Tamandua tetradactyla: one gene and its partner. The protein of the gene in region 2 purifies or fractionates together with the protein of the main gene of each other region. This does not show direct contact. Links are inferred from orthologs where the notes say so. Each region holds a gene or a part of one and is shown on either strand. Other genes may lie near its edges.

What was found.
Region 1: the proteins of STYK1 (region 2) and TMEM259 purify together in Homo sapiens (affinity purification with mass spectrometry; 3 studies listed by BioGRID and IntAct, with this or other methods). This does not show direct contact. The link is inferred for Tamandua tetradactyla from reciprocal best matches to the Homo sapiens genes STYK1 and TMEM259.

What each region holds. Positions count from the first base shown.
Region 1 is NC_135337.1:81,996,129-82,005,803, reverse strand, and holds the start of TMEM259 (membralin), read right to left. Parts: upstream 4,151-9,675; 5' UTR 3,934-4,150; coding exon 3,715-3,933; intron 66-3,714; coding exon 1-65. UniProt on the Homo sapiens protein: May have a role in the ERAD pathway required for clearance of misfolded proteins in the endoplasmic reticulum (ER). Promotes survival of motor neurons, probably by protecting against ER stress.
Region 2 is NC_135333.1:73,293,734-73,303,375, forward strand, and holds the start of STYK1 (tyrosine-protein kinase STYK1), read right to left. Parts: upstream 4,756-9,642; 5' UTR 4,546-4,755; intron 4,477-4,545; exon of another isoform or gene 4,458-4,476; intron 4,360-4,457; 5' UTR 4,317-4,359; exon of another isoform or gene 4,295-4,316; intron 1-4,294. UniProt on the Homo sapiens protein: Probable tyrosine protein-kinase, which has strong transforming capabilities on a variety of cell lines. When overexpressed, it can also induce tumor cell invasion as well as metastasis in distant organs.

The DNA of each region.
Region 1 (9,675 bases), on a different chromosome or scaffold from region 2:
CAGTTGATGGGCGAGCGCGAGAAGACGATGTGGATATAGGCCAGGACGAAGAGCACAAACAGCGCCTGGGGGCAGTGGGCCGCAGTCAGAAGGCCAGGGCGCAGGCCGGGGGTCCACGGCAAAGCCAGGACCGCCTGAGTGGCTGTGCTATGAGCCAGCCAAGCCCTCGCAGGAGCCGCTGGGGCCCACCCGACCGGCAGTTGGCAGCTCAGCACAAGGCTCTGTCCAGGAGCCACCACCCCCGCAGTCAGGCAGGCACCCCAGAGTCCCCTGGCTGGCCCCTGTTTAAACTTCTGCCTTGTCCTCAGAGTTGCCCTAACCTCACCCCCTAAAAGTAGCCTTCCTAACCCAGCTGGGCACCCATCGGCCCTTCCTGGGCCTGCAGGGTCAGCTGGAACTGCGAGGGACGGTCAACCCTCCTGCTAGGGCTATCATTCCAGGCTAAGGGGGTGGAACTAGAAGCTTAAACAGTGCTTCCCATGGTCACCCTGGTTTGCAGACAAGGAAACTGAGGCACAGAGGAGCTGGGGCTTTCCCACACTGCCTGTTCAACACTGTGAGCGCGCACAAGGTCCCAAACGTGCCCCAAATCCCCGCTGCAAGCAGAGCCACGAGGCAGGGCTGGCAGGGCAGTAGCTGAGTAGCATGACCTGGTGCCCAAGGCGGCAGCCAGGATGTGGGCACACACTCTGCACACCAGAAGGGGCAGGGGCAGCCGGTCCTGAAAAGGGAAAAGGGAAGGCTTCCAGAAGGTCCTGCCATGCCCAGCAAGACCTGGGTCCACCACACAGACGCCACTGAGAGGCCACCAACACTCCCAATGCCATGGCCTGGCCACCTCATGGTCCCTTCACCACCCACAGCTGCACAAGCCAACCCCAGTTGGGGCAGGACCAGGCCTACAGCCCAGCAGCTGCATAGCCTGCCCTTGGTTTCTCCATCCCTAGAGCAGGCAGCAACACACCCAGTCTGTCAACCACCAGCCAGAGGCACCACTTACCTCCCCAAGGATGGCAGGAGCCTTCGCTGAGCCACTGGGCAAGGGGCCCAGCATCCTGCACAGCCCACTCCATGGCCTGTGTAGGTGACTCCCACCCCAGGACCCCACCTCGTCCCAGCCAGAATGCTTGGGGCACCAGGGCCTTTGCACACTCACCCCTCTCCACCCTCACCTCAAGACACCCTTGCCAGGTTCACCCTCCCCAGCTGCCGTTGCACACGTCCTGCCTTCCGTGGCATCCCATGCACTGCTGTGCCCCAGAGCCCAGCAGAAAACCCATGTTTGGGACACATGCTCACACTCCACCGACCCCAGGGCTAAGTCTCTAACACCTCCTCCAGGAAGCCTCTCGGGTGCCCTTGGGTCACAGGCCACCACGGCCACCCAGGGCTCCAATGCCTTGTCTCCGCACAGATGGGGAAGGGGGCAGGCAGAACTGCCCAGGCCCCTCTGGGTGTTAGACTGGCAGGAAGCCCATGCTGGGACCCCATGCCTTCCCCGAGAGAGGCAAAGACAGCAGCTGAATCCCAGCTCTCAGGAGTGCCTCTGGGATATCCCCAACCCTGCTGGGGGCACCCCTCCTACCCTGAGAGCATGGGGGAATCATCTCCTCCCACCCACAGGACATAACAGCCAACCTGACAGGACCCACCAATACGTCAGCCCCCTTCCCCTGTGGTGTCTGCTCAGCAGCTGCCCGGGGTCCAGAGAGAAGTAGATAGGCCTGGACCCCTGAAGCCTGCTGCTCCCAGCCTCTGTGCCATGGAAACCAGCAGCCAGGGATGTGGGGGCCTCTAACGACAACCCCCAGGGGACTGGAGCCACCTCCCCTGCAGCAGGAACGTATAGCTGGTCCCCAAAAGTTACACCACAGTGCAGTCATGGCAGGCAGGGCAGGGTCTGGGCTAGCCCCTAGGCTGCAGACTGAAGGTACCACAAGAGGAAGTGGTCACGAAGGTCTGCCTTTTCAGTGAATACATGGGAAGTCAGGCGGCAGGAAACAAAGACCAGAGCTTTCTGCAACCTCCAGCACGCTCAGAGATCCAGGCCCTTACTCTGCAGGGGAGGCACCAGGGGATTGGAGCAGATCCACAGCAATCCCCAGCCTCCTGGCTCCACCACAGGGATGGGTAGTCCAGCATCCCGGGTGACAGAGGCAAGGGGGTGGGGCTGGAGTCTGGCCAGAGGCCACACAGCCTTTCCATCTCCAAACTCCTAAGGCACTGGGCTCAGCTGCTGGGTGCAGACCTCTGGCCATAGCTCCAGCCCCATTTAAACAACAGCATGAAGCGCTTCTGGTGGTGAAAGAATTCTCTACCAGGTTGGTGCAAACACGTGCTGCATTCCCCAATCAGAGCCCGGTGCGGCCAGAGCCAAGCTTGTGCTCTCAGGAAGCTGAGTCCCAGGTGGGGCCCTGTCCACATGCAGCGGGACCTTCCTGGGTCCCGGGTCAGCTAAACTGTTGTTGTTCTTAAGGAAAAGACGCACCCCCAGACAAACCTCTGCCAATAACTTCAGGCTGAAGTGGAGTCAGGACGCCTGATAGAGGGACCCTAATTCAGTTAGCCTCCAGGCCGGCAGGCGGGCTGCAGGTAGATAGCTGGGCTGAGCCGGCCTAAGAAGGCCAGCTACTCACTGTGAACCCATTTCGCAGACGAGGGGCTGAAGGCTCAGGGGCAGGGCTAGGACCTGCACCCAGGTCACTGGACCACAGGGCTCATGCCCCTTCCTCCCCATGCAGCAGAACCAGCCAGATCCTGGCCCATCTGGGTCAGGCTGGTAACTCCACCCACACCCACCAGCTAAATCCTCCACAGTCTCGACTGCTTCCTCAGCGACGCCTCTGTGGAAATGGTCACTGCTCTGTCCTCTCAGATGTGTCAGGTGACAGCCGTCAGGAGCCCTGTGCCCAAGCAGCGCCCCACGCCAGTGCCTTTCTGACAGGCCACAGACTGCCCTGGCCTTTCCTGCACGGCCCTCATGTTGCTGTTTTGGGAGCTGCCTTCATGGCAGAAGCCTCTGTCGGAGGGAGGGAGGACTGAAGGAGCCAGAGCACAGGGTACAACAGTGACTGATGGCTCAGAGAGGAAGGAGGACAAAGAGAGACCTGGTTCAACCAGTCCCAGCCCAAGTGCTAAGCGGTGAGCAAGCGAGGCGGGGAGGCAGCGAGTGCCACCTGAGACTGCCAGTGACTCTAGTGAAGTGACCTCAGCTAAGTCAGCTTTTTCTAAGAGGCTCAAAGGAGGGAGAATCAGGGTGGGGGGCAGGTGGACCATCCCCTTGCCAGGGAAAGGGGAAGGGGGAAGGGGGAGGAAGAGATGGAATGGGGATCTCCAGTGCACTGTGTCCTGGGGGAGTGGGTAGCAGCGTGGCCGGGAAGGGGAGGAGTGACGGTGGGGGCGGGGGAGGCTAAGGATCCCAAACGTAAGAGTCAGGGGTGTGGAAGGGATTCCCTAACCGGTCGGGGCTGGCCTTCCAGAAAAGGGGTGGGATCCAGAAGGCCGCGGGAAGGGTCCCAAGTGAGGATCAGAGGGTTCCCAGGGGAGGCGGGGTAGGTGAGAATCCAGGCACCGGGTTCATGGGGGCCTGCCGGGGTCGGGGGAGCCCTAATCACTCCGGCCGGGCCCAAGCCTCCGGGGTGAGGTAGGATGCCCCAGGAGGGGGGCTCGGCGTGCCGGCCGAGGTCAGGGGTCGGGGTCGGGGGTCACGGTCACCTTGAGTAGCACAAAGAACTCGAAGAGACGGCGGAAGGAGGGTGGGAAGAGCCGCGAGTATGTGACGGCCATCTTGAAGAAAAGCGCGTGGAAGAGCCGGTCGCGCACGTTGATGAGCGGATTGGGGTTGAGGTTGGGGGTGCGAGGTCCGCGAGCGGGGGCCGGGCCGCCGCCGTTGAGCCCGGGCCCCGGGGCCCCGGGCGCCGCGTGCTCCGACATGCCGCCCAGCGTCACGCCCTAACGGCCCGCGGATCTCCGAGGGCGCCTCCCGGCCGCCATCGCCTGTATGCTCGCCACCACCACCACCTCCAACGCTCACCGCCGCCCGGCCGCCGCCGCCATCTTCCGCCTCCGCGGCCCTGCTGACGCCAGCGAGTAGCCGCGACGGGCAAGAGCGGGCCCCCACTCCCGCCCGCGGAGAACGCTGGGATGTCGGCGGCCAGCCCGCGGCGGCCCCGCCCCTGCACTCGGCCGCTGGGCTCGCCGGTGCCGGGGACGGGGCGGCGCGAGGCCAGGTTATTTTGCATGTTGAATCCCAGAAGACTCCGCGGCTGCGAGGCCGCGCGTGCGGGCGGCGGATTAAGGCACAGCTGAGGATTTCGGAGTGATTAAACACATCTAAAGTCAATGTGACCATACAATATATCCCTTAAAGTTGCGTTCTAGAAAATTTTGCTAAATATACACCTACAGGTGGTTGACCTAACTGTAAAGAACGAAATATTGAGACCTTTATATACGACTGCCTGGATCACCAGATTTGTGCTCGCTTCGGCAGCACATATACTAAAATTGGAACGATACAGAGAAGATTAGCATGGCCCCTGCGCAAGGATGACACGCAAATTCGTGAAGCGTTCCATATTTTTGCGAAGTTCCCGCCCTTTGCGGCAGGCGCCGCCAAAAGTATTTGAACACTTCTCTCCACGCTGCGTGCACTCCCTACGGGACATCCGCGCCCCCTCTCCCAGAAGCGCGCGGAGGCTGGATCCCACCACCCGGGGCCAGGCTACAGGACGGCTTGCACCTGGCATTCAAGGACAGAGTCCTCGAGAGGCGCCGACGCCCCCCCCCGCCCCACTTGGTTTCGTTATTCGTCTTTGAAAGTCCTCCGTGCCTTCTAGCGACCGGGAAAATTAGGAACCTATACTCACTGAACGCCTGCTGTATGCCAGGTGCTGAAAGAGACTCTACTCAGACGCCCCAAAGCTTGATGGGGGTGGCTAGCCACAGCAGGAGGCCTGGAAAAGCAGGGGGAAGAAGGAGACAGGACTGACAGGGGGCAAAGAGACTTGTGCAGCCCCGGGGAAAGGGAAGCTGGGCGCAGAGTCCTGCTGCAAATAGAGGGAAATGGTCTTCTCGCACCTCAAGGCCTGTGCAGTGTGCCCAGGACACAGCACGGGCATGCTGGCTGGGTCCCACCTTTCCAGAGCTCAGGTACCAAGCAGGAAGCAGGTAGATAAGCTGTCACCTTCCGAATCAGATTGGGTGCTCAGGAAGGGGGTGACCTGGAGGCTAACAAACTTCCAGATCTAACTGGCTAGTTTTCAGAATCCTGGAAGCATCCCACCCTTGAGATGGACAGACAGATGGGGCCCTTACCAAGACTAGAATGCCAAAGCCATTCCCTTTCTGTTAAATGGACACTCCTCTTGACATACAGTAGGCACTCAATATGTAGATTGTTGAAATTATTATGAATCACTCCCCAGCTTCTGCGTTAATTGCAAAAGGAGAAATAAAATCAACTTTCTCAACGGAGAGACCTGAAGAACAACGCCTTGACCAAGGTGCCAAGCCCAGCCTCACTGCTGAGAGGCATCACGACCTCTGACCTGAAGCCAGCAGAGGCAACCAGCTCCCCACCTCCACCCTGAGAAGGCCCATGAAGCCTTGGGTTCAGCATATCCCACAAATGAGGCTGCCACTGGGCTCCTAAACATGGAGAATGTGGTTATTGCACCAGAGGAACCGAACTTTACATTTCATTTCATTGAATTCAGGTTTAAATAGACACAGGAGGCGAGGGGAGGCCATAGTGGTCAGCACAGGTCTAGACCATGTTAGCACAAACACGGCATTCGAGAACAAGTTCAATTGCTGGCAAGGCTGCCAAGCAACTGCCGGCCTCCAGAAAGAGATACCGTCACACAGGAGCCCCAATTAAACACCGGGCCAAGACTTAAATATACATTTCCCCAAAGCAGGTGTGCAGAGGGCCAACAAGCCCATGGGAAAATGCTCCATGTCATCAGCCACCAGGGAAATGCAAATCAAAAGCACCATGATGTACCCCCAGAACAGCTGGAATAGAATAGCTAAATAGTAACATGCGTCGGAGAGGGTACCGAGATATAGGAGCCCTTGCACCCTGTTGGGATGTGAAATGCTACAGCCACCATGGGAAACAGTTTTGTAGTTCCTTAAAAAGTTAAGCAGAATGACCTCATGACCCTGCAGTCCCACGTCCAAGGAGAATCGGAAAAGACTGGAAGCAGGAGCCTGGGCAGATGGCTGAATACCACTATTTATCGCAGCCTGATTCCCAGTTGCCAACAGGTGGAACCCCCTGGGTGTCTGCCACAGACCAGTGGAATGGACCAGCAAAATGTGGGCTGTGCACGCTACGGCATGTTATAAAGCTCTGAAAAGGGCTGAAGTTCCAGTCCATGCTACAACCAAATGAATCCTGAAGATTTGGTGCTCGGTGGAAGAAGCCAGACACAAAAGGCCAAACACTGTCTGACTCTATTATTATTATTATTATTATTATTATTAAATGCAGGCAAAATGACTCTATTATTTTGAAATGTCCAGAACAGGCAAATCCAGAGAGAGAGAGAGAGGATTCGTGGTCTCCGGGGACTGTGGGCGGGGGTGGGGGCTTGTGGGGTGACTGCTAATGGGCATGGGGTTTCTTCTGTTTGGGGCAATGACAAGTTTCATAGAATAGCTGTGTTGGCAATACAACACTGTGAATGTAATTCGTGCCACTGACATGTCCTCTTAAAAATGGTTAAAATGACAGATTTTCTGGGGGATGCTTCTAAATCTAGACCGGAAGAAACAACACACACACACACAGAGAACAACAAAAGACAACACCACTGGGCCATCTGGAGGCATCTGGAGAAATCTGAAGATGAGCTGGAGGCCAGAGTGTGCTGGGGCATTCCCGTTACCTGCCTTGGGGGTGCCGATGGCATTGGGGTGGGAGCAGGTTGTGAATTATTCCGTTAGCGCCTCAAGGAGGCTCCTTAAGAAGGTGTCCTCCGAGCAGGAACTGGGGTTAGGGCAAAGGGATGAGGGGGGTGGCACGGGGCATGGAGGACCTGTTTGTTGAGGGGAGGCGCTGGCCGTGGGAAGCTCCCGAGCTGAGCCCAGAGGCAGCGGCCTCTGCTTGAGTTCTATTATTATTCTCCCTGCCTTGTCGTCGATGTTGTTGTAGGATGGCTGCTCCCAGCAGGTGTCCTGGCCAGGAAGCAGCAGGAGCGAGCTGGGCTGACCGCCCAGCTGGATCCGAAAGGTAGGGTGCAGGGGAAGCATCTGCATCCCCACCAGAAGTCACCCAAAGCCCTGGCTGGGAGCCCAGGCTGGGGTCCTGCCCTAACCCCCCAGGATCCCATGCAAAGCCCGGGATCTGTAGGGACAGGGCCACCCAGGGGGCTGCTCCCTGGGACCCCCCTGTAGCTGCGGCTCCTTAGCCCAGTTGCCAAGACCCTGGGGCCCTAAGGTCACCCCAGCAGCCCCATCCCGAGGGCATCACCATGTCCCCACTTCGGAGCCCCACTCTGTCAAGACGCCACCACGCCACAAATCTCACAGGCTCCCGAGCGTGGGTGAGTGCCATGGGGGGAGGGTGTCCAGCCGGGCAGGGCCCCATACTCTCCTTTGGCGAGAGCACCCAGCTGCTGGGGCCAGAATACCTAAGAGTGCAGCATCTTCACCCCTTATCTCCGCTCCGGATAGGAGCGTCTGGTCACCCCCATTTTACATTAGCGGAGACTGAGGCATAGAGGGGCCTTGCAACGGGTACCCACCCGCAGCCAAGCCAGGAGCAGGGATTCGAACCCAGGCCCCAAGGTGGGGAGCATTGAGGTTGTAGAATTATGCAGAATTATTTTACAATTCTATATAATACAATTACTATTCCATTCTGGAAGTCAAAGCTTCTCAGGCACAGGTCCAGGAAGTTTCCAGAACTGATATCTGGGGTTCCAGGGTGCTCCGAGAGCCCAGACCCAGGGACGGTAAACTTTTTCTGCAAAGGACCAGATAGTTTGTATTTTCATCTTTGCAGCCCAGAAAGTCTGTCCTAACTACTCAGTTCTCACCCTTGTAGCATGCATCCCCCTAAATGATTAGAAATCAGTGCGCACAGCTGTGTGCCAATAAAGCTTTATTGACAGTTTTATTACATTGAAACTTGAATTTTGTGTTGTGAAATATTAGTCTTTTTATTTTTTTCAACCGCTTCAAAATGTAAAAATCATTTTTAACTCGCAGCGGGAAGGCAGGCGGCTGGAGGTGGCCGGACTCTCTCCCGATGGAAAGATAACGCAAACCCTACCGACCACTCAGATACTTTAAAATTTTCTAGCAGCCACGTTGAAAGAAGTCAATGGGAACAAGTGACTTTTTTTTTTTTTGGGAACAGGTGATTTTTTTATGTAACTTGATAAATCCAAAATATAATCTGGACATGTGATCAATATGGAAACTTCTTAACGAGATCATTCATGATCTCTGCTTTTCTACCAGGTCTCACATATCCACATTTCTCCGAAAACACTTGAAGCGCATCTAGAGTCCATAAAGCTTAACGTTGAAACGGAGTCACATGCACCCAAGCCCTTCACATATATGTAAAAGTTTTCCAAAAACAGAACAGTCAGTTTTAGATTTTTTAAAATTTGAATTAATGAAAATGAAATAAAGCAAAACATCCGGTTTCTCAGTCGCACCGGCCATCTTTAGGGGCTCGGGGGCTGGTATGGCCAGTACTGCCCTGGGCCACCCGGACTTGGGCCACCCGGACTTGTGGCGCTCACGGAAAGGCTGTTTGTCAGGCGGCTGGTAAGTGTCCTGTCGTGGGAGGCAGGTTCATTTAGCAGGTGCAGAGATTGAGGCTTGGCAGGGTGGGGGCTTACCAGGCCACGTAGGTAATCTCGTTCTAGTTGGTTCTGCATTCAACTCATGGCTGTCCCATGCAGGCCCCCCATCCACCCCATTTCCTTCGCACCACCTGCTGCAGGGCCTGCAGAGCTGCCGGAGGGATCCCCGGCCGTCCCTGCTGCTGGAGATGCCCTGGCTGGACCTCATGCCCGGGGTATGGGTCCTCCACCCACCTGCGGGTGCGCGGGCCCGGGCATGCGTCATAGGCAGAGATAACCCACCAAGATAGTGCCCCTGGGGTGTTGCTGGGTGGCCACACTGGACAAACCCCAAGAGCCACAGCTGGTCGAGGAGAAGGATGCGTATGACGCCTACAGCCGGGGCTGACTGCAAGTTGGCCCTGGCTCTCGTGGGGGCCGGTGCAGGTCTCCTTTCTGCAGAGACCCTGGTGGCATCCTGAGTCCTGCTGATCCTGGTGCCCTAGCCGGACCTGTACGGACCCCCACCCCCCACCATCCGGCCCCAAAGCTCCCATGCCCCACCCTGAACACCAATAAATTGCAACTGATCCCACACTTGGAGCGGCGCTTTCTCATTGTTGATCCCGCCCCCACTGCTCACTAGTGCCCATTTCACGGATTAGGCAGCTTAATCCAAGAAGAGAAGGAATTTGGCCAAGACCAGCCGGCTAGGACTTGAACCCTGAAGAAAGAACCTTCAACTGAATGGAATGGGAGAATCAAGTCAGAGGGGGAGGAAGCAGACATCCAGGGAGTGTGGGGTCGGGGAGGAGCATTCCCCAGGGAAGGGACAGGGATGAGTCATCTCTGAGCCCCCACAGAGCCA
Region 2 (9,642 bases):
CTTCCCTCCGAAAATCTCTACCCTATACATGTCTAAGGTTGAAGACTGGAGATTATATATTCCAGGTGTGTCTGGTTTTTTGTTTTTGCTTTTTTTTTTTTTTTCCTCATTGCTGGCAGCTTTAAGAATATTTAGTAAATACGCTTCTCCCTTCTTCCATCAGAATTCATTCTGACTCCTAATAAGATATCCCAAGGAACACTAAAGGCGTCAGGTATTACGTGAGACTTACGGGGAAAGCCCACAGAAGTAGAACACAGGGCAGCCACCTGGTTTCAGACTAGACCGGCTGAATTTATGGGATGTAGTTATAAACTTGATGGGAAACTGGGTGGTCAGGATAGAGTTTTGGCATTCTCTTAACCCCCTTTCCTTGTTCCCTGAACCACAAGTCGGGCTCATACCACTCAAATAAACAAGTGCTGCTCACTACCCTGAGGCAGCACTAAATTTGGGGTCCAGGCTAAAGAGGGATCATGCAGCACTTAGGCAGAGGTCAACCAGGGGTTTTCCTTGTCTGGGCCAAAACAGCCCAATCTGACTTGAGAGACTTTAGAGAAGTTGATAAAGAAGTCCTTTATCCGATATAAACTAGCTTTGGCATATAATTGGTCCTGATGGCTAATTAATATCAGAAAAAAAAAGGCTTAGGATTGACTTCTCGGAACCCCAAGTTATCACCTTTAGCAATTATTTTTCACCATTCAGTTGGTGAAATATATATATATATATATATATATATATATATATATATGCTATAATATGAATATATATATGCTATAATATGAATATAGCATAAATGCTGTCTCTGGAGTTGTGCAACATAGCACTATGCATTTACCCAAAGACAGGGTCATCTGGTTAAATCATTGAACATCTGTGTGCAAGATTTCAGATAATTGTTTTGAAGCTTTCACCATAAACCTACGCGACAAAATATGAGTATTTTGTCATATTTTGAGTATTTTGTCATATTTGAGTATTTTGTCATATTATGAGGTTTTCCTATGGCCACAGTGTACATTTTGACACATTTTCTAAATTAAACCTTTAGCATCTACCACTATATGTTCTTAATAGAATTATAACTAACTTAGGCTAGAATTTTACATTTATAATACTTTTCATGTAGATCAATGTTCTAGAAATAATGCCCTCATCGCAACATACTCTGTTACAGGAACAATTTTAGCAACTACTTTTGATAGCATAAAGAAGATAGGACAGTTCACCATGGATGAGGGCTTAAAATAGTTGTAGAAAAAAAACTCAAAGCAGCTTTTGCTTTCATTTACAAACCTAGACAGTAATTTAGTCCATAAAAATATGAAGCTACAGGTCTGAAAAACGCAATCATTGTTTTCAATTTGCTTTGACCATGGTAATTGTCAAGAATTGTTTATCTATATGCCTTGCTACCACAATGCCAAGACTTATTATAAATGAGAAAACATTGAATTGGGGCTAAAGAAGGATTGAGCACCTGGAAATCCTACTGTTCCTCAGTCTTAGAAATTGGTATTCACAATATGATAAGCTGGAATTCACCCTGCCCAATTTACCCAAAGGTGTGGGGTGGGAAAAGTAGAGGAGAAGGCTACCTGAATTGAGGAAGAGCAGTCTTAGAAAATGGGATTGAGGCGAAGGTAAACCCCTTTACTCCATCCCCATCTGCCTTTCCTTGTCCAGTGCTGACTCTCCCCAACTAAACTTAAGCCTATCTCCTCATTATTATTCTAGTTAGGAAACTCAAAGAAATGCTGAGAAGTTCAAACATCAAAGATTTCTTTTTTAAACCTGGAACAATCCCCAGAGATTTCCTAATCTACCCTTCATTTTCTGAGTAAAAGATAAAAGAAACAATGAAGGGCTACTGAGGTAGATGCCTTGTTATTTGCTCACAAAGAGAATGTAGGAGTTTAAAACAGATTTCAGCTCCCAAGACTCAGGACAGAACTCTTTCCACTCCTTACCAATGTCTGTGTAATTAGCCGATTTTCCTTTGTGCATATTCATTTCTTTCTCCTTTTGTTTTCCCCAGTTAGAAACTTTGAGCAAGACATAATGTACCAATACTGAGAATTTAATACCCAGTCTATGTATTCAGCACTTATCAATGTGTCTATTATAACCTGTTCTTTCCCAAATAGTAATTTCCTTGAGAATTCAGTCATCTTCTTTTTTTATTTCCCTCATTAGCACAGCCCCAGAGTAGGTAGAGAGCAGTAGCCCATCTAAAATCAGATGGAGACCAACTAAACCTAAGCTGGTAGGGAGAAAAACATGAAGTGACAAAATTGGAAAAAAAAAGATTGAAACTTTCATGAGAACAAGAATATAGGGTCTTTTTGGCAATTTGTGTTCACAACTGTATCTCTAGCATCTAGAATAGTGACTGGCACATATCAAGATTCATATGCCTGTTGAATAAAAATAACTAAATTCATCTATAAAAATAGAATTTGATTTGAAGGGAAATCTTTTTAAAAAATAACCTATAGTAATCAATCAGGCTTAAAGGATTTAACTATAACACTAGGGATACAAGGGGGGAATAAAGAATAATTTTCAGTAGTGTTATATGGGAAGTATCATGGCACCCAGGCTTCTGCTCAGTGGGAAACATTTTAATTCTGTCATCTGGCAGCATGCTGTTTTTCCAGATAAAGGGATACAAAGTTTGATTGCTACAGCAGGCAAATGGTGATCCTTCATTGCAAAAACAGGACAGGAACTCAATAAAGAGAACCCAGCCAGAGAAAACTCAGGTGTAGCAGAAAGAAAATCCCCTCGACCTCCCCCACTAAAGATGTCTGCCCTAATCCCCAAACCTGTGAATGTGTTAGGTTGCATGGCAGAGGAGAATTAAGGTTGCAGATTGAATTAAGTTTGCTAATCAACTGCCTTTAAAATAAGGAGACTACCCTAGGTTATTTCTGTGAGCCCAATGTAATCACAAGGGTCCTTAAATGTGGAAAAAGGAAGCAGAAGTGTATCAGAATAACGTGATGTGAGACTCAACTGGCCATTACTGGCTTTGAGAACAGAGGAAGCCAAAACCTCTGGAAGGTGGAAAAGGCATGAATGGATTCTACCCTAGAGCCTCCAGAAAAGAATGAAGCCCTTCTCACACTTTGATTTTGGGTCACTGAGACCCATTTCAGACACACATGCTCAGGTTAAAACAAAAGGGAGATGCAGCATCCACAGATCCAGGCAGAAGTTTAGAGCATAAGCTTTTTGGGGCTGGTTGTGATGAGGTGGGGAAGGTGGGAAAACAATGCCTCTGCAGAAGACAGCCATGCTCAACTAACTTTGAGCACGTGAATAATTAGATACTTAGTAATGGAGGCCCCAGAGAAAACTGATGGCGTTTTCATTGATGAAAATACTTCACAATGTCTATTTGAAAGGCCTGGATGACCCGGCTGTGAGCAGAGATTCTGGGGCACTGACGAGGTCAACTCCTACAAAGTTTTATTTCCAGGTGCATGTCAATTTGGGCGAGCTGCACAATTGAGCAACTCAACTTTTTATTTCCTCACTTCAGAAATGGATAGTAATGGGAAATCTGAAAGAAACCTCAGATGGAAAAGAGGATTCATTATAGAAGGAGGTTAAAAATCCCAGAAGGAGGCATAGGAAATGAAAGGGAAAGAAAAGGTTCAAAATGGGAATGAAGTTGAAGGGTTGATAGTGAGAAAGGCGAGACAGAAAAAGAGAAGACACTACAAGAAAACAGAAATCCTAGTCAACAAGGAAGAACATATCACTTTATACAGTTTTTAAAGCATTGCTACATAATCTCTTTAAATATCACAATCACTCTGGAAGGTAATGGCATTCTCATTTACTCTTAACAGCTGAAGCTGAACCTGAGAGCAGTGATCCCAAGGCCACACGGTCGAAGGCTATGTAACCTGACAAGCCAACAAATAATTTCTTCACGAGCACTGTTTTTATCTTCCCTCTCCCGATTGCCCTTCTCAGGAATAACAAAGGCCCCTCATCACTGTTTTTTTTTTTCTTGCAGCTGCTCTTTTCACCAAACCGCTGAGTCAGGTATAGTTTCTTAAAAACAGAGAAGCCAAAAACTTCAAGATGTTTGTTCCAGGGAAATGTGTACAGGTTAATTCATCTGGTTATTATAGTTTGTTTTTGTTTACATAAAACACAACGAGCTGATCACAACCGTCCCACTCCCGGCCACCTCCTTTTTCTTTTTCTTCCCCAAAGTCAAGTCCAGAGCTAGCTGCATCACTGGCATCTTATCCCCCCTTCCACCCTTCCTTACCCCCAAAGTCCCCGTTCGCTACCGTGTCCCTCCTCCGGGCACTCTGGTTTCAGATGGAATTGGTCCTGCCGGGAAAAAAAAACATATAAATATACACATGACGGTTTGGGTAGGGCAATGTATGCCAGCCTCAAGGAAATGCTTTTCAGTCCCGCCTTCCCACCGTGGGGCGTGGCCGCTAGGCGAGGATGGAATTTGGGTAGCCTCCCCACAACGGGAAGTGTGCGGGCTCCGGGGTTTCCCGCACTCACCACACACCAGCCAGCAGGAAACCTCCGCTGAAACTGTGAACGCTGGGCTTGGGGTGGTCTACGTACTCATTTCCTACCCTAGTGATTGCAAGTCGGTGAAGTATAAAATAAACTCGGTTCAAGGTGGAAACGGAAAGCTATGCGAAAAGGGCAACAGCGCCACCTCTTGTCCCACCCCATAGCAGTTGCTTTCATTGTTACTTAAAATGATCTAGGTTAGAACTTCAAAGTTGATTCGTCCCCTCCGCCCTTGCCTTTACGTCATATAAGATACTGTTTACGATGGTTGCTAATTGGGGGAATCTTTAAGGTATAAGTGAAAATAAAAATCCCAAGAGTAAGTAATCAGTCATTCATTACGATATGTTTTTTAAACACCCATTATATGCCGGGTTTTTCTGGAGATACAGTGGTGAACAGGTAGTTATGTTACCTACCAACATGAAATTTACAATCACAGAATATCTAGAAAGAGCATAGCTTTCAAATTAGATATTCAAAATTAGATATTATAATATATATATAGCAAGTTCTATTAAAGAACTATAGGTCATAGATTACTTGAATAGATGACCAATTTGTTAAGCATTAACAGCATACCAAGCAGAAATTTGCATCCTTTAGAGCAGAAAGAATTTGGGTGCTATGTAAAGTGGAGGGTTTAGAGATTAAGATACTTTAGTTCTCTAGAGTCTCCTCCACCGAAATACTTATTTCCTTCAGAACTCTTTTAAAACAGGCCATGTTAAGAAAAGAGTGGGATGACGTTTCATCAGTTAATTGTTCCTACGTGCCAAAACTGATTAATAAAAGCCAGATGAACTGATCTGAGCTTTATATTATTTAATCTCCTCCTCTACCTCACCAGTTACCCTAATCCCCTTGAGGGAAGAGACTGGTTTATTCATTTGTATAATTCCTGTAGCATCCTAGAACATAGCTGGATACTTAATAGGCTCTGAATAAAGATATATACAGACTTATAACTGAGTCCCAGGGAAAGTGGAGTGCAAGTAAAAACGGTTAATCTCACTCAAAACTATTTTTGACCTTGGGTATATGTATAGTATTGCTTTAGAACTGTTACAAAGGAATTTAATGCAAAAGTGAAGCAGATGGAGTCTTCCAACTTATCTGCAAACATTGCCCTCCCACAGAAGAACATCGATGGAAGTTAGCTCCACAGGATCGGGTCATCTACCTGGAAGGCTTGCCCTGGCAGACAGGAACACAGCAACTTTGATGGAATATGTACATAGAGTCAGCAGTAGAGGTTCTGTAACAATGCCTGGTACCTAACTGGGACTTCTCAAGCATCGAGAGAAAAGTAGACACTGCCAGAAGCAGCCCAAGACAGAGGAAGAAAAGGATGGACTCTATGTAGTAAATGGGGATTGGGTTGATGACAATTTATGAGATGTCCTCACTGCTTTGAAGAGTCCCAGGGACAGTAATGAAAGGGATCTTTTTAGAAGACCAGAGGTCTTGCAACTGACTAAAGACAGAGACAAGGGATCATCAGTTATTATTATCAGTCCGACTCCACATTTATCACACTGACTGTCAAAGGGAATGTGGATTATGGATATTGAACTTTCCATGAATATATTGTGTCCTTATACACTGCAAACCATTTTTCTATTGCTGCTGTAACAAATTATCACCAACTTGGTGGCTTAAATAATACAAATTAATTATAGTTCTGTAGGTCAAACGTCCAATATGGGCCTCTCTGAACGAAAATCAAGGTGTTGGGAAGACTGTGTTCATTTCTGGAGATTCTAGGGGAGAACCCCTTTCCTTGCTTTTACCAGCTTCTAGAGGTCACCAGCATTCCTTGGTTTGTAGCTCTCTTCCTCCCTCTTCAAACATCATGTCTCTCAGACTCTTCTTTCACCATCTCTCTCTCTTCGACCATAACTGAAGAAATGTCTCCACTTTTAAAGACTCATATGTTTATTAGATTGGGCCTTTAGAGAAAATCCATAATAATACTTCCATCTCAAGGTCAGTAACCTCAGTCATAGCTGCAAATTCCCTTCAAGGTAGCATATCCATAGGTTTGGGAGATTAGGGCATGGGCATCTTTGTATTCCGTGTTCCTGTACATAGTAAGAGGTCAATAAATGTTAACCACAGAAGAAGTATCCCATTTGCCAACTACTTATACTGATAAGGAACATCCACACTTCCCATAGGGAAAAAATGTGCTGATATGGAACATTTTGCCAACCTCTTGGCTCCACTCCTTTCTTCTCTTTTTCCTCCTTTCTCAATATGATGATTTGGGTGTCAACTTGGCTGGGTGATGGTGCCTGGTTGTCTGGTCAGGCAAGCACTAGCCTAACCATTGCTGCAGGGATATTACGTGGCTGGTTTATTAAATCATCAGGCAGTTGACTACAGCTATGGCAGATTACATCTATAATCATCTAAGGACGTGCCTCCCACAAACAAGATAATCCAATCCATTGGATTTGATTGAATCAATTGGAGACTTTTAAGGGAGAAGAGAGAATTTTCACTGCTTTTTCAGCCAAAGAGCCTCTATTGTGGTGTTCATTGAGACCCTTCACTGGAGTTGTCAACCTAGCAGCCTGCCTTATGGATTCAGGACTTTTTATCCCATGGTTGCTTGCGTGAGACCCTTTTATAAATCTCATATTTACAGATATCTCCTGTTGGTTCTGCTTCTCTAGAGAATCCTGACTAATACACCCACCATTCTGATGGAATAATTTAGTATATTTTAAAGATCACCCATCTACAGCCAGAATCCATACCTTCATCACCTTGGGCAGGGTGCCCTACCTGAGCTTTAGTTCCTGATTTGTAAAATGAAGACGTTGAATTAGATTAGCTCCAGTCCATTTCCAGTTTCATATTTCATGATTCTCAAATCCTTGAGCACACACACACATATGCCTACACTCGTCTAGTCCAAACTCCCACCTCCCTAGAACAATTTCCCACAGCAGAATGTCTCTCCCGGTGAATCCCCCATTCAAGACAGGATGCTTTACTGAGTTGTTTTTAACCAAAGTATCACACATCGGGACTGAGTTCAAGTTAAAAGTCACAGGAGTATGGAAACATCTTAAAGTCATTTCACATGTCCATCCTGATGTAATCTGGAAAATCGAAGAGCCACAAACAACAAAAAATGAAAAGCCAATAGCCAGGGTCCTACCCTTCGGGGGCATTTCTCCAGGTCTTGGCAACATTGCCACACTGGGTGATGTTCTCGTTATGCTTCTCCTTGGCCTTAGGGACCTGTTGGAGACCATTTTTGTGGCACCACCACCAGCCTCGGCCACCTCTCGGGCCGATGCAGGGCTCAGCTCGGCTCCTGGTTCGGGTGCCGCTACAGCAAGGAGCCTGTCATTCTGCTGGCCCTGGGAACAGTGCACACAGGCGCCGAGTGCGAGCCCCCCGTGGGGACGCCAGACTGAGACGCCGAGCACGGCTGGCCCACGGGAAGGAGAGAACAGATATCTGGGATGTTCTCCCACTGCCACAACCACCTGGGCAGCTTCCAGGAACATGGAGTGAAATGGGAAGGAAGTACAACCCAACAACCAGAGGGTGTGGCCCACCGCCACCAACTACTTCAGGGTCAGCAGCAAAAGTCAGCACCGGGAGCGGTTCAGCCCCCACCCCCCTTATTTATTCTATGTGTGTCTGTGTATTTTTAAAGATTGAAACAAAACCATTTAAAAATCACAGCTTCCAGAGAAACTTGACGGTGGCGCCATGCTGGGCCTTGTGTTTGAGCAAGGGCTCTGAAAACATCCTTGTTAACAATGGCTTTGCCACTGGGGATATCCACAGAGTACCTTGTGGGCATGAGGTGATTTTGGTTATAAACTTTCACAAAAGACTTGATCTTTGATCTCTGGGTGATTTTCTTCTTGCTCAGGGCAGCTGACACTTTTCAGGGGTAGCAGTGATTCCAGCCCCCAGGGCATGGCCATAGGGCCGTAGAGCCATCGCTGATGCTGTTAGAGATGGCGGCTCTGTGTCCAGAGTGGTGTCTGGGCAGGGCCAGCACCACTCACCTGAGTTTCATAAACTTTCCCATCGTGAGAGCATCCACTGGAGCCTACAGCAGAAATATGGCTCTGAGTAGCAGAATAGAAAAAAAATAGAAAGCTATATACTAGTCTCTAAGAATTAAGAAACAATGAAAATAGGGTGCCCAAACCCCATTCCAGACTTATCTGTGTTATATCATTAAAAAAAAGCAGTGGTCTTAATAGATCCAGAAAAAGAAAAGCTTAAGAGTGAAATACATTGTATGCTCAATGTTATCCAGGGGGGAAATGTGCTTACAAATTTTTTTTCCTCAGGACTTATCATCCCCAGCACACAGTTACTTGCTCAGAGTTACATCTCTCTTCCCTCACTTCATAAGGATAGGATTTTGTTTTGTGCACAGATGTACCCCAGAGCCTAAAACAGTATTTGGCATATAGTACTCACTCATTAAATATTTATGAAATGGATGGATAAATGAATGAATGATTCATGGTTTGTATTTACATTTATTTCTGGTTTAAGACTGAAGTGAGGTTGTACATGCTTTTTAAGCAAATAGTTTGTATTCATCTCATAGAGCAATGCATCTGATAACTGCTTGTGTTTCCATCTTAAAGATGAATTTGTGGCCCCCTCTACTATGCGTTATGAATAGGGTTTCATTCATAACGTTGTGCTCTACCTCACTGCTGGCCCCAACCTTATTGGCCCTTTCCCTTATTTTCATAGATTTTTTTCACTTATTTTATCTTTTTGTGTCATATATAATATGTATATATTAAATCATCTTAAACCTTTCCAGAAGAGGGAGGAAAAATTCAATAAAGCCAATGAATTTTCTCAGTGTAGACTATTAAAATGGCATTTCTTACAAATTGCACCATAGGCATAGCGTTAAACATCTCTTGGCGAACTGACAAAAAATAAAAGTTCACGAAGGAGAGAAATTGAGGATCAGAACCTGGTTTCATCATGACCTCACCCCTACAAAGTGATGAGCCAGCTAGGGTTCTGTAGGCTCTTTCTGTTGCCTTGCACTAACAATGTAGCATAAAGAGA